Solanum lycopersicum: one gene and its partners. The protein of the gene in region 1 binds, or shares a complex with, the protein of each later gene. Links are inferred from orthologs where the notes say so. Each region holds a gene or a part of one and is shown in the gene's direction. Other genes may lie near its edges.

The links. The genes of interacting proteins can lie anywhere in the genome.
Region 2: large ribosomal subunit protein bL34c (region 1) and large ribosomal subunit protein uL10c share a complex: the UniProt entries of both Arabidopsis thaliana proteins name them as parts of the 50S ribosomal subunit. The link is inferred for Solanum lycopersicum from reciprocal best matches to the Arabidopsis thaliana genes AT1G29070 and EMB3136.
Region 3: large ribosomal subunit protein bL34c (region 1) and large ribosomal subunit protein bL28c share a complex: the UniProt entries of both Arabidopsis thaliana proteins name them as parts of the 50S ribosomal subunit. The link is inferred for Solanum lycopersicum from reciprocal best matches to the Arabidopsis thaliana genes AT1G29070 and PRPL28.

The regions. Positions count from the first base shown.
Region 1 is NC_090800.1:53,255,277-53,261,097, forward strand, and holds large ribosomal subunit protein bL34c, read left to right. Parts: upstream 1-2,505; 5' UTR 2,506-2,632; coding exon 2,633-2,846; intron 2,847-3,371; coding exon 3,372-3,628; 3' UTR 3,629-3,748; downstream 3,749-5,821. UniProt on the Arabidopsis thaliana protein: This protein binds directly to 23S ribosomal RNA.
Region 2 is NC_090803.1:3,526,213-3,528,829, forward strand, and holds large ribosomal subunit protein uL10c, read left to right. Parts: upstream 1-1,184; 5' UTR 1,185-1,288; coding exon 1,289-1,978; 3' UTR 1,979-2,117; downstream 2,118-2,617. UniProt on the Arabidopsis thaliana protein: This protein binds directly to 23S ribosomal RNA.
Region 3 is NC_090808.1:67,409,465-67,413,588, reverse strand, and holds the start of large ribosomal subunit protein bL28c, read left to right. Parts: upstream 1-1,324; 5' UTR 1,325-1,473; coding exon 1,474-1,690; intron 1,691-4,115; coding exon 4,116-4,124. Other genes in the region: uncharacterized protein, read left to right, coding at 1-473.

The DNA.
Region 1 (5,821 bases):
CCATCATATCAGATAGATATGCACAATTCACTTCTCGTTTTTGAAGGTCTTTTCAAAAAGGGTTGGGTACTCAAGTGAAGCTTAGCACAGCTTTTCATCCCCAAGCAGATGGTCAGTGGAGCGTACTATTCAAACCCTAGAAGACATGCTAAGAGCTTTTGTGATAGATATTAAAGGTAACTAGGACAATCACCTACTATTGATTGAGTTCTCCTATAAGAATAGCTACCATTCAAGCATTTCCATGACACCTTTTGAAGCACTCTATGGTAGGCAATGTAGGTTTACGGTTTGGTGGTTTGAGGTTTGTGAGTCTTCACTCCTTGGTCCCAAAATTAAATATGAAGCTTTGGAGAAGGTTCGGGTGATAAGGGATATGTTTAAAACAGCTTATAGTCGGCAAAAATCCTATGTCGACAATAGAAGAAGAGATCATGAATTCAAAGTAGGTGATATGGTGTATTTGAAGATTTAATCTATGAAAGGGGTGATGAGATTCGATAGAAAGGGAAAGTTAAGTCCCCGATATGTGGGTCCGTATTAGATTTTGCAATGGGTCAGAAAAGTTGCATATGAGTTGAAATTACCTAGTGAACTAGCTTCGGTTCATCCGGTATTTCACGTCTCCATGCTTAAGAAGTGCATTGGCGACCCCGTATCCATTCTCCCCATTGAAGGGTTAGGTGTGGATGAGAGTATCCTATGAAGAGGTTTCAGTGGAAATTCTAGATCATCAAGTCAAAAAGTTAAGGAACAAAGAGGTGGCCTCCATAAAAGTCCTATGGAGAAACCACCTTGTTGAGGAAGAAACATGGGAGTCCGAGGCCAATTTGAAGTCCCGTTATCCTCATCTTTTTCCTCAAAATTCTATCCAAAGTTGATTTTAGAAATAATTCTCTTAAAATAATAAATAAATTTGAATTTATCTTGTTTTGCTAAAATGTGCATATTTATGGTAAAGGTTCATGCTAAAATGATTTTTCATGTGAAAGTGCTCTTTTGCATAGCTTGTACTTAATTGTGTTTTGTGTATTGTTGCCCCCGTAAATTGGTATTGAGCATGATGTTTTGAAGAATAAGTGGCTTGATGATCATGTTGAGCTCATATTAATATTGAGAAGGTAGTTCCTCATGTTGTGATGTTGAGCTCTTATATGTGGTAAATTGTGATTTGAGTTGCTATAGATGACCAAGGAGCATCACGTTGGCTTTGAAGCAGCTGCATGGTACTGGCATTTTGTAGACGTGGTTCGGTTATTCCTATTTGTCAAATTCCATGTTTGTGTGTTGAATGGACTTGTGAATTACACCTTTAATTTTTAACTCATGTTGTTTATATGTTTCTGGTTGGGCTGCTAGTATTGAGTCTCCTAATTTCCCCTACAAAAGATTTTTACTGTCATTCGGGGACGAATGTTCCTAAAGGGGGATAATGTAACACTTCGAAAGTCCATGACCTAATCTAGAGATTCATATAATGAACCAACACTTCAAAAACTGTTTATTTACCTGAAATACTATATTTAAAGTATTTAGGAAGTGTTAGAGTCAAATGTCAAGAAATGACCATGACGTTCGATGATTGTGAAATATGCACTCGTGTGCCTTGGCATGTTGCATAGAGGTTTAAGAGTCGTAATTTAATGAAAGTTGGTAAAAAGGCGTTACATATATAGAAGAGAGTATTTAGGGTTGAAATGTACAGGTACGACTCCCCAAGGGCCACCCTAGGGGTCCTTGAGGAGGACCCTTCCATTTGGACCCAAAAGTTGTCAATTGACAGTGTACAACCACGAGCCAAGCGAGGAGTCGTCGTTTGATCGACGCTCCGTAGATGGCCTCATAGGTTGACACTTATTCAATTGGCCTGGATGCTCCAAAAATCAAGTCTCTGTCCCAAACAACGACCAGCAGCACGGGGCCGTTGATGGGACTACAAGGCATAGGTCGAGGAGTCGTCGACTGGGTTTGTTTTGCTGTCAAGTTTTTAAGTTGGGGATTTGATCAGTTAGTTAGTTAGTTAATTAATTAAGGGTTAGGGGGTGGTTAATTAAGTTAGTTGAAGGACTATATAATACCTAAGCCTCATTAAACTAACCTAACACCCCACAATTCCCAAACTCAAATCCTCTCCAACTTCTCTCTTCTTTCTCTCTCTATTGCAAGACCCCATTGAAGAACAATTCAAAGCTTGAGTAGGACTTAAATACTTCAAATTTTATCCATCAAACACTAAGTAATCCTAAGGTATGAAAGATCTACACTCTTGGGATCTCTTTCCCCAAAAGGCTCTTGAATTTGGGTCAAAATGATGAAATTGGATAATTTTAGTAAATTTGGAATTTTCATCCAATTGAGGGGCATAAATGATGAAAATTAGTAACGACAAGAGTAAAAATAATTTCCTTTTAAGGTAAAAGACATAGTAAATCAATAAATAAAATTGAAAAATATTTTTACCCTTTCCACTTTAAATAAAAGTGTTTTACTGTGTCAAACCCTCTCTAAATCCATCTTTAACCCGTTTATCTTTTCGGATTACCTAAAGAGTCCCTTGGATTGCAGATAAGGCATCAAAACCTCTTATAGATAGACAGAAGAGTAAGAGGGAGAGTTTTGAAAGAGAGAAAAAATGGCTTCTTTGTCAATGGGAAGTTGGGTATGTTCAGGAATAGGAAACCACAGACCATCCGCTTCGCTTTCTCTACGTACTGGTTCTTCAACAACGACTACTTCTGTTTCTTTGAAAATGGCTGCTAATGCCTCTACTCATTCTGGGTTGCTTCACTGCTCTTTTCTTCCTTCCTCTGCACTCTCTACATTATCTTCTTCAACATCCTTTTCTGGTAAGTTCCATAAATTCTCTATCTTCCTTTTCAATTTTGATGTGGAAATTGAAAATGTGAATTAGAGATTTCAGTTGTTATTTGAATTGGTAATGTGGGGTTGTTTATTGATTCCTGTTTTAGGCAGGTAGTATTTTCATTTGAATTGCTTCTTTTGAGAACTCCTTAATAGGCAATTATTCGCTTGTGTGTATCTTGAGTCCTGTTAAATTATATACACTCTTTGAAGGTACAAGGGGGAGACAAGAGTAGGTTGCAATTCTTCATTCTGATGTTTAGTATTCCATATAACACAAATTTGTAGTGTCTATTTGTGGTCTGACATTGCTGTGCTATTGAAAAAAAGTGAATCGTATTTCTGATTTTATAGTCAAAATCCATTGGTTAAAGCTAGATTATAAAACAATTGAACCAAAAAAGTTTCAACAAAGAGGAGACCTTTAAGGTCCAAAAGACATATGATCAATTTCATATTAAATTGGCATGATGAATAGTAGCGAGCTAATGGTTTAATATGTGGTGTAGGTTCATCATTTGGCATTGGCTTCAATTCCAACATTGGAGTGAGCACCACTAAAAGGCGTGGCCTGGTGGTGCAGGCAAAGAAGTATGCTCTTTGTCAGACTAAGAGGAATAGGTCGAGGAAGTCGTTGGCTCGAACACATGGTTTTCGCAAGCGTATGAGCACCACCAGTGGCAGAGCAACTATCCAGCGAAGACGTGCAAAAGGCCGATGGGATCTCTGCCCAAAGTCTTCACCTAGAACTGGAAAACGAGCTTAATGTTTATTGTTTTCTTGCAACTGATTTTTGTTGGTAATATGTTAACTATCTTTTTCAGAATTTTGGGCTGCTGTAATTTTCATCTGTTTTATTTAAAGAACTAATTTACTAGTTTCCATATTTTTGTATTGTCCACTCTTTCATTGATTGGTTTTTGCTTTCTCCTTCTGATCTTGTTCATGAGTCTGGTCAACAAATCGACCCTGAGAAATTTGTAGACTCAGCAGGTTTTCATTTGTCTGATTCATCATAGGGCTTTTTCAGAGGTCTAATGTTTTCTTTTGTTTTCCATTTGTCATTGGAGAAAGTATTATAAGAAAGTTGCTCCACCAAAGAGGGGAATATGAGACTGACATGTTGAGGTGTTTTATGGACATCGATCGAACAAGGCCCTTATGTAAGGGTGCTATATTGTTCTCACAAATCATTCTTCACATGTTGGGTGAGCTTGGATTGTAACTGCAGTTATTTGGAAATTTCAGAATTGCATTTGTGTTACTAAATTTTGCTTCGTAACTGAGGATTTTACTAGTATGCTGCAGGATCATCCGGCTGTTGGCATGTGTAAGTTGAAATACAATTTAGAAATGTGCCCCAACCGAACCAGAAACCGACCTGTCTATGGTTTTTTTCTATAAATTAGTAGCTCGGAAAAGACAATATATGTAATATTCTATTTCTCATCAATTTGGTAATGCCGGACGTAGGTATAAGAAGCATACTATCCTAATGCATGAGAAGTTTGTATGAGCGAAATATTCACTTTATTTAGTAGACTTTGGTGTTCAGATCAGATATCCAGCATTAGTGAATTTTTTTTCCCATATCAATCCTTTTTGTTCCATCAAAGGCAAATCACAATTCTTATCTTGTTTTCACTATATGAAACAAATAAAGCGTTATTTACACTTGGAAGTACTTCTATTTATAGGATTCAAACTCTGACATGACTCATGAGCTTTTAATTGCTCTAATATGCATTTCTCTAAATCAACTAAATGACTAAATCTGCAAATATCATAAGCTCACTTCTACATAGCCTTAGTATGAAAAATAAAGAAAAACGATAATGGGAGCAACATTTTTCTAACCCAATCTAATATTATATATTCGTTTTTGTTTACCACAAGTTAGAAAGTCAAAGGGTGTCTTTGATAGGAGTGAAAATGTTTCAAATGAATTTTTTCTAAAAATTGTGTTTTAACCTTTTAGGAAAATAAGTGATAACAATTTTGGGGGTGGAAGCGGAATCGTGAGAAGAGAGAGAGAAAATTACAGTGGAGAAAAGATGATGATCTTATTATGACGGGAAGCCTTCTATTTATACAACAATTTTACAAACTTAGCCAATAGAAAATGAACGACATGCTTTACACTTGGCCTTATATTATTTGGCCGATACAAAACGACAAAATACTTTAATAATAATGGCCTTTTACTTTATTTATCACTACTTTTTAGATATGGCCAAAATGCATTATTTCCTAGAAGTTTTAGGTCTAATCTAAATTCTTATTTTACTTTTTGAAAAAAAAACAAAATTAAAGAAGTAAATCTAGCTAGAGTATTTTATCAATTTTATTAAGAACTGATTATGGAGTATTATTTTTCCTATTATGACTTGTGGTTTGATGAGAAAACGTTAAAAAATAATATTTAACGTCCATTTGGATGTATTGTTAATAACATAGGTGATTCTTTTGTATTTTTAGCCTGAGAAAGAATGTAATGAAGAATTCCAAAATGTTGTTGTACAAAATGGCTAAATGGTTGTACCCCCATTAATGGTTCCACCTACATTTTGTGATGTGCAGTGAGGGAGGCAGAAGAAGCAAGAAGCAGCTCCAATGGCGTCGGGAGTGATGTTCATATTGATACCGGCAGGCTTAGGTGTTGTGAGTTGTCTCTTCATTCTATTCTACGTTTCCTTCACTTCCAATTTCTTTATCCACTCCCACCGAATCCATCTCACATTCAACTCTACCCTCAACAATTCATTTGTTGCAAATCCAACTATTCAGACACATACGCATGTGCAATTCAATGGTATGACCACCCCACTAAAATAATTTACTCTCGTTCTGGGTGTAACCTATTCTGCACTAATTTTCTACCTTTTAATTCAAAATATTTGGGGTTTGATATTATGCTTAAAGATTGTTTCCAACTTCTTCATTTGACTGGATAGATAGA
Region 2 (2,617 bases), on another chromosome or scaffold:
TTCATGATATTTCTCAAAAAGTAATTATAGATTATTTTTTTTGTTCATTACCGATTATTAATACTTATCTCAAATAAAAATCATAAATCATTGAAAGATTTACTTTTGCTTATTTTATTAATAATTAAACTAAAAATTGAATATACATGTGATTATGCCCCTTAAAACTATGAGACTTACGTCTTGTGTCTCAGGACATACGCCTCACCATATACTATGTAAAAGATTTCACCTCACGCTCTGTCTTTACTATACAGATACAATCTATTCAAATATTATATTTATTAAAATAATATAATATAATATAATTGAAGCAAAGTCTAGGACCTGAGCAGAGAAAATAACAAAAATATCACTTGTGATTTTGATTACATTCAGAAATAATTTTTGAATATTCTTGACTCTTTAAATTTATTTTAAGCCAGCATTTTTAATTGATAAACTTGTAGATACAGATATACATACTTGAAAAAGGATTGACGAGGTGTAGAAGGAATAATATTGAATATGGTGAATTTTAGTAGTAAATAATTTAATTATTATTAATATTTGTATGAGTTATATTTGATAGGAGTATTATTTTATATTTAATATTTGATTTGACGTAAAGAAAATAATCTGTATTACATCAATTTTGAACAAAATTCTTTATTTATATAAGTATCTTTCACAAATATAGTAAAATGATGTTAAAAGAGTTTTGAAGAGCAATAGTGATTTTATTATGCTAATGCATGAATATTTTTTTTTACTAATATCCACATAATTCCATATCTTATATACACCTTAATGCCAAATACATCATATAATATTTGCATTGATTATACTTAATGCGACTCTACTATGAAATTCAAACAAAATTAATAAAATATTTTAATATAGAAGAAAAATTGATATGATTATTATATTATTTTTTTAAAAAAAAATTAATAAAGCATCTGAAAATAATGATAATATATATTTAAAATAACTGATCGAATCATAATTAATATCTTTAAATATAAGATAAAATAATTTTACATTTTATGAAATTATTATCTTTTATATATCATATCAAATCATCTCAAGAATTTTGTTAATAATAATAATAAAAATATATCTAACATAATTTTATAAATTAAAGACGATAAAATATATGTAAATATTACACCTATTTTGCCTTTTTTAACTTCTTTAATGGTTTGTTTGGTATGACATAAATATTTTCAAAAACATAAAGTTTATGAAATACCCCTAAATTCTATCTTAGCACAAAAGATAAGGCAATCCAATTCTCAAGCTATCATCAATGGAGGCTGCTCTCTTCAGCTTACCTTCCTCTTCCTCTCACTCTTACCCATTTTCCGTGAAATCCCACTTCAACAATCCCTTCATAATCCCCCATTCCAGTTCTCACCTCAAACTCAAACCCAGAACTCTAACTATTCGTTCAGCCATTAGCAGAACCAAGAAAGAAGAAACAGTCGAAACAGTGAAGCAACAGCTTGAAGATTGTTATCTCTTAGCTGGAATCAGTTACAAGGGGTTAACAGTTAAGCAATTTCAAGATCTTAGGGCTCAACTCCCAGAAACAACAAAGCTTCTTGTTGCTAAGAACACATTGGTACTTAAAGCAATTGAAGGGACAAAATGGGAAGCATTGAAACCATGTATGAAGGGAATGAATGCTTGGTTATTTGTTCATAGTGAAGAAATCCCAGCTGCTTTGAAACCTTATAGGACTTTTCTAAGGGAGAAGAAATTGGAAGATAATGATTTTACTGGTGGGGTTTTTGAAGGGAAGTTTTATGGGCCTGATGAGTTTAAGGTGCTTGAGAATTTGCCTACAAGAGCTGAGATTTATTCACAGCTTCTTGGGTCTTTGAAAGGACCTGCTTCAGCTGTTGTTGGGACTATTCAAGCTCCAGCAAGGAATTTGGTTATGGTTCTTAAGGCTTATGTAAAGAAATTGGAGGAGGAAGAAGGTGGAAGTCAATAATTTTTGTTGTAATTCTTGGATATGGTAAGCTAATACTATTGTCTATTTGGATCAATATTTGAAATTTTTCTGAGAGATGGAATTTTGTAAATTTTATGTTTTTGGTAGAATGAATTTATCCTTGGCCAATTGTTCTAAATTTGTGTCCTCGTATTTGGCGGATAATTATCTGGATTACTTCATAACTGTTTGAGAGGATTTATGTTATGTGAAATGTACTATTCTGCTCTTTCCATTATCACTGAACCAAGAAAATAGTCTGTATTCCTGCTTCAGCTCACTATATTTGTCAAATATTAAAAGGGCAGCTCGGTGCACTAAGATCTTGCTATTTGCTGAGTTTGGGCTTTGGTAGTAGTCTGGAGGAAGTGTGTAGCTTTATTCTTGCAGTTTCTTGCTATTGTTATATGTTGATCGCACTATATTGTTGACGTTATTGTTTCTTGCATGTATCCTCTGCAGTGCTTTCCTATTACTAGTTCTCATGTTTTCCTTATTGTCGTTTTCCCTTTTTGTTAGTACTTTCATTTACTTCACTTGAACTGAGGGTCTTTTGGAAACAACCTTTGTACCTCCACTAGGTAGAGGTAGGGTTTGCGTACACTCTACCTTCCCCAGACTCCACTTTTTGGGATTTCT
Region 3 (4,124 bases), on another chromosome or scaffold:
AGGAGCTAATAAAAGACGACAGCTCTGACCCTCTACCAGATGACAGTAGTGTCTCTGCTCAAGAGACAATCTTCCAAGAAAATCTCGAGGTTACCCGTACTGGTATGGTTTCAGAAAGGAAAGATGAAAATGCTAATCCCAGTCCACTGGAGCATCTTGAGATAAACAATGACTCACCAGTTAAGGAAGCAATTAAGTCAGAGGAAGACAATGGAAATGTAGACGATAGACCTTCTGAACCAGAATTCTCATCGAAAGAAGAGTTGGATGCTCCAGAGGAACTTGAGAAAAAGGAAGAAATCCCTATTACTGAAGTGTTTGATCCGGGCTGTGTACTTGTGGAGTTTAGAAGAGCAGAAGCTGCATGCACGGCTGCTCATTGTCTACATGGACGACTGTTTGACGACCGAATAGTGACTGTGGAGTATGTTCCCCTTGATCTCTATCAGACAAAGTTTGCTAAACAAAACTAATTTCTTTTGGCCCATTCAAAACCTTATGCAGATCTCCCCAAACTTGAACGACGTTAACATAGGATTTCACAATGCTTAACTGAATGTTTGTTTGCAATTTTTACCATTATTGAGATGCCTTGGTGTTAACCCTTTTGTTAGTGCGAGAGTCGTACCCGATTTGAAGCGGAATACATGTTTTCTCCCAGATGTAGAATGGGATGAAGGAATGAGCCATTGTATTATGTCATCTAAAAATTATGAACTTTGTTTTTAAGTTGCAACAGTTTACCTACTACTTACAATATACAGGAGCACAATCTTATGGCTTCTTGAAATCTTTTATTTACCTTCTTATTATTTTGCCTTAATGTCTTGTGCTTGTAGTTCTAAATGATGTTGGTCACTGACTCAGTTGGACAGTTGATGGGATAACAGATTTTAGGGGTTGTTTGGTTAGAGAGATAAGGACATTCATAACATAGTGTGATTGATTTGAAGATAGTAGAGACGTTCAATATTATAATGATTTGATTTTGGTCTATTTGTTTGGTTTATCATAAGTGGAACCTGAAGAGGGAGAAAACGCTTAATATTATAATGATTTGATTTTGGTATAGGCTTAATAATGATTTGATTTTGGTATAGGCTTAATACTCTCTTTGTTTGGTTTGTGATATTAGACTTCCACGTGAGTAAGTAATGGAAATAAGATTAAAGCATAAACTAAGATAACACAAGTAATGCAAATAAAATTAAAGCATAACTATGATAACATATTACTTCCAAATAAGTTAGATTTTGTTATTTATTTATTCTTTTATTTAAATCGTTTGATATTATTAGACTAAAGGAAAAAATAAGTTAAATATATAATAACAATAAAAAAAAATATGAAGGCCAACAAATAAAATCATTACCCACATCCATTTCGTTATCCACTCTTCACTTCCTTCTTCAAAAAAAAAAGCAACATTCTTGAGACAAAAAAGATTCTTGCTTTGAGGAATTGGTTGCAAAAATGGCGACAATCACAGCGGGTATAAGCCTCAGAGGACCAGTAGTGGGTGGTTACAGGACATTTGCAGTGACCAAAAGGGCTTTACCCAAGGTGAAATTCAGCTCAGAGTTGAGTTTTGTGACTTCTCAATTGAGTGGCATCAAGATTTCAAGCACCCATTTGAGCTCTCCTGCTTCACTTTCTGTTCCTTTCAAGACAGCCCTTCAACCTGTTGCTCGTAATTTCTCTACCCTTTTGTTGTGTTCTCTGTGTTTTTAGTTGTTGGGGTTGTTTCTTTTTTGGTCTAGTAATATGCACATGAACTGTTTGTTGTTTTGTTTGTTTCAGTGAATTGTTGGGTTTTAACAATATTGTGAATTGTGTGTAAGAAATTGTGCTTGTGGGGAGGCAGTAGGTAACCTTAGAATTAGTCGAGGTGTGCGCATACTGGCCATACACCACAATTGTCAAAAGGAAATTGTATCTGATAATTTGAAGTTTAGTTAAGTACTTGTTACTTAGGGTAATGGTTGTTGAAGTATGTGCAAACTGACCCCGACATTACCATTATTTAAAATAAAAAAAGAGTCTTGGTGCAATTGCAAGGTTGCTCCTTTGCTGACCTGAAGGTTACGAGTTCGAGGGGCGGAAATATTAACTTTGTAGACCTATTGATGGTAGAGGTGACATTTCAGCTTTCTGAATTTCAATTAATTGGATCACATGCAAAGGGATACTGTATGGTATACACCTTCGGTCCCTCTACCCATGAAGTAGGGATAGTAAGTTCTTCTTGAACATTGATGGGGAAAAAGGAAAGATGATAACTTTCAAATGTTAATACGATGAATCATCATTTTGGTGCAGGTAGCCTTTTTATTTGTGTGTGTGTGGAGTGGCCGTACTCAAAGGGTCACAGGACCGAAATCATCATGAGTGTTACTCAGATAATTGCTCATTCCATACCTGAGACCCCATTTAGTAGTCGGGTGTCTAGAATTCAGATATGTGCTTTGTGTTGATAGCACATTACGTTAGATTGTTTAGTACCAAGTGAAAGTTAGTATTGCTGATATGGGATGAAAATTATCCCTTACAATGTGGAGGATCTGAAGACATAGCCAAAGTTGGAAAAAGTTTGATTCAGTTGCAATTTGCAAACTAAATATATTGTTTTCTTGAAATCTGTGGTATGGTAAGCTGAGCACTTGACATTAATCACATATTATTAAGTTACATATGATAATCAATGATTAAAAACCATATTATAGTTTACTATCTAAACAACTTCTTATATAACTTCAAGAGGAGAGATTAAAGGGGTGTCATCATTCCAGGGGTTTAAAAGTCTGTCTACAGTCGCAAGAAATAGGGATAGGACAACCTCACCATGTGCAAAATTAACAAACTGGGAAGAGCTTGATGGACTACAGCATATTGATTAAAGGGAGCTGCCGCGTTAACTGCATTAATAACAACAAGATCAATAAAATACGGTATATAGTTTGGAAGTTTGTCCATAGTTGTCTTCATATACTGAATGATCCCTAATTTTTCCTCCTTGGCTCTTTGTTCTCTGACTTAAGGATTGCCGATATTTAAGGCATAACAGATTGTCCAAGTGAAGAATTATAAATTATTTCATGATAAATTTCTTATATAGATGGTATCAACAGTTTTTTGGTTAACAAAGTTTGCATTCCTTTGCTGCAATTCATAGACAAAGCTGCAAAAGAAATACTATATGCATGAGAAGATATTATAATTCTTGTCGAGGCCTTTTAGGTCTCATTAAAAACTGACTGCAGCCTAAAGGGAGCTTCATTTTCTTGCTTTCACCTCTCTTGATAATGAGCAGGATTTCCATCTGCCTATTCTTCTCTCCATGAAACTTGCAGCCTAATAGTGAAATAAAAGCTTTATGAGATTCAAAGCTTATGAAAGTAGATTTCTCGCTATCAAGAATATGTAAATCCATTTACCTCTCAAATTCACCTTCTGCATTTTTTAATATTTATTTACCCACCTGTGTCCTTATTACAAGTGACCAAACTAGTTAAAAAGAAGACGAAACCAATAATGAGAGGCTGAGAGAGTGTGTTAGCTGCAGATTTGGAAGGAAAAATCTACAGAACTTGAATCTTCGGTGTGTTCGCCCCTCTGGTGTACATTATATTTTGAATATGATGATAACAGCTTGGTTTAATTCGTTCTCATTGTATGACAACAAATTGTAAAGGGTTGACTTACCTTTTGTGAAATCCAGTAATGGCAGAGTATTTGGCTTTTAGATCACTGATGAAGCTTTAGTTTACTAATCAGAAAGCACATTATGAGAGTCATTAGGAGCACTATATCACTGACACTCTTGCTTGCTTTGACTCCCTTTCTAAGTTGCTGCATTTGTCAAACTGCATCCTGAATTCCTTTGTTTTTTTAGTCCAAAACTACTTAAAGCCTTTGAGCTAATAGGTAAAATAAAACAAATTAGGGACAAGAGTAATCAAATATTCCCAGTGAAGCATCCTTTGCCTTACATCATCATGATCTTTCCTTTCCCCCCCTGCTTTCCTGCATTTTTGTCGGTTGTGCTCGAATATCTTGGCGCCTCTTTATGATAAGTAGCGTATAGAATATTAAGAGAATACATTCTGTTTTTTCAGGTAGAGTAT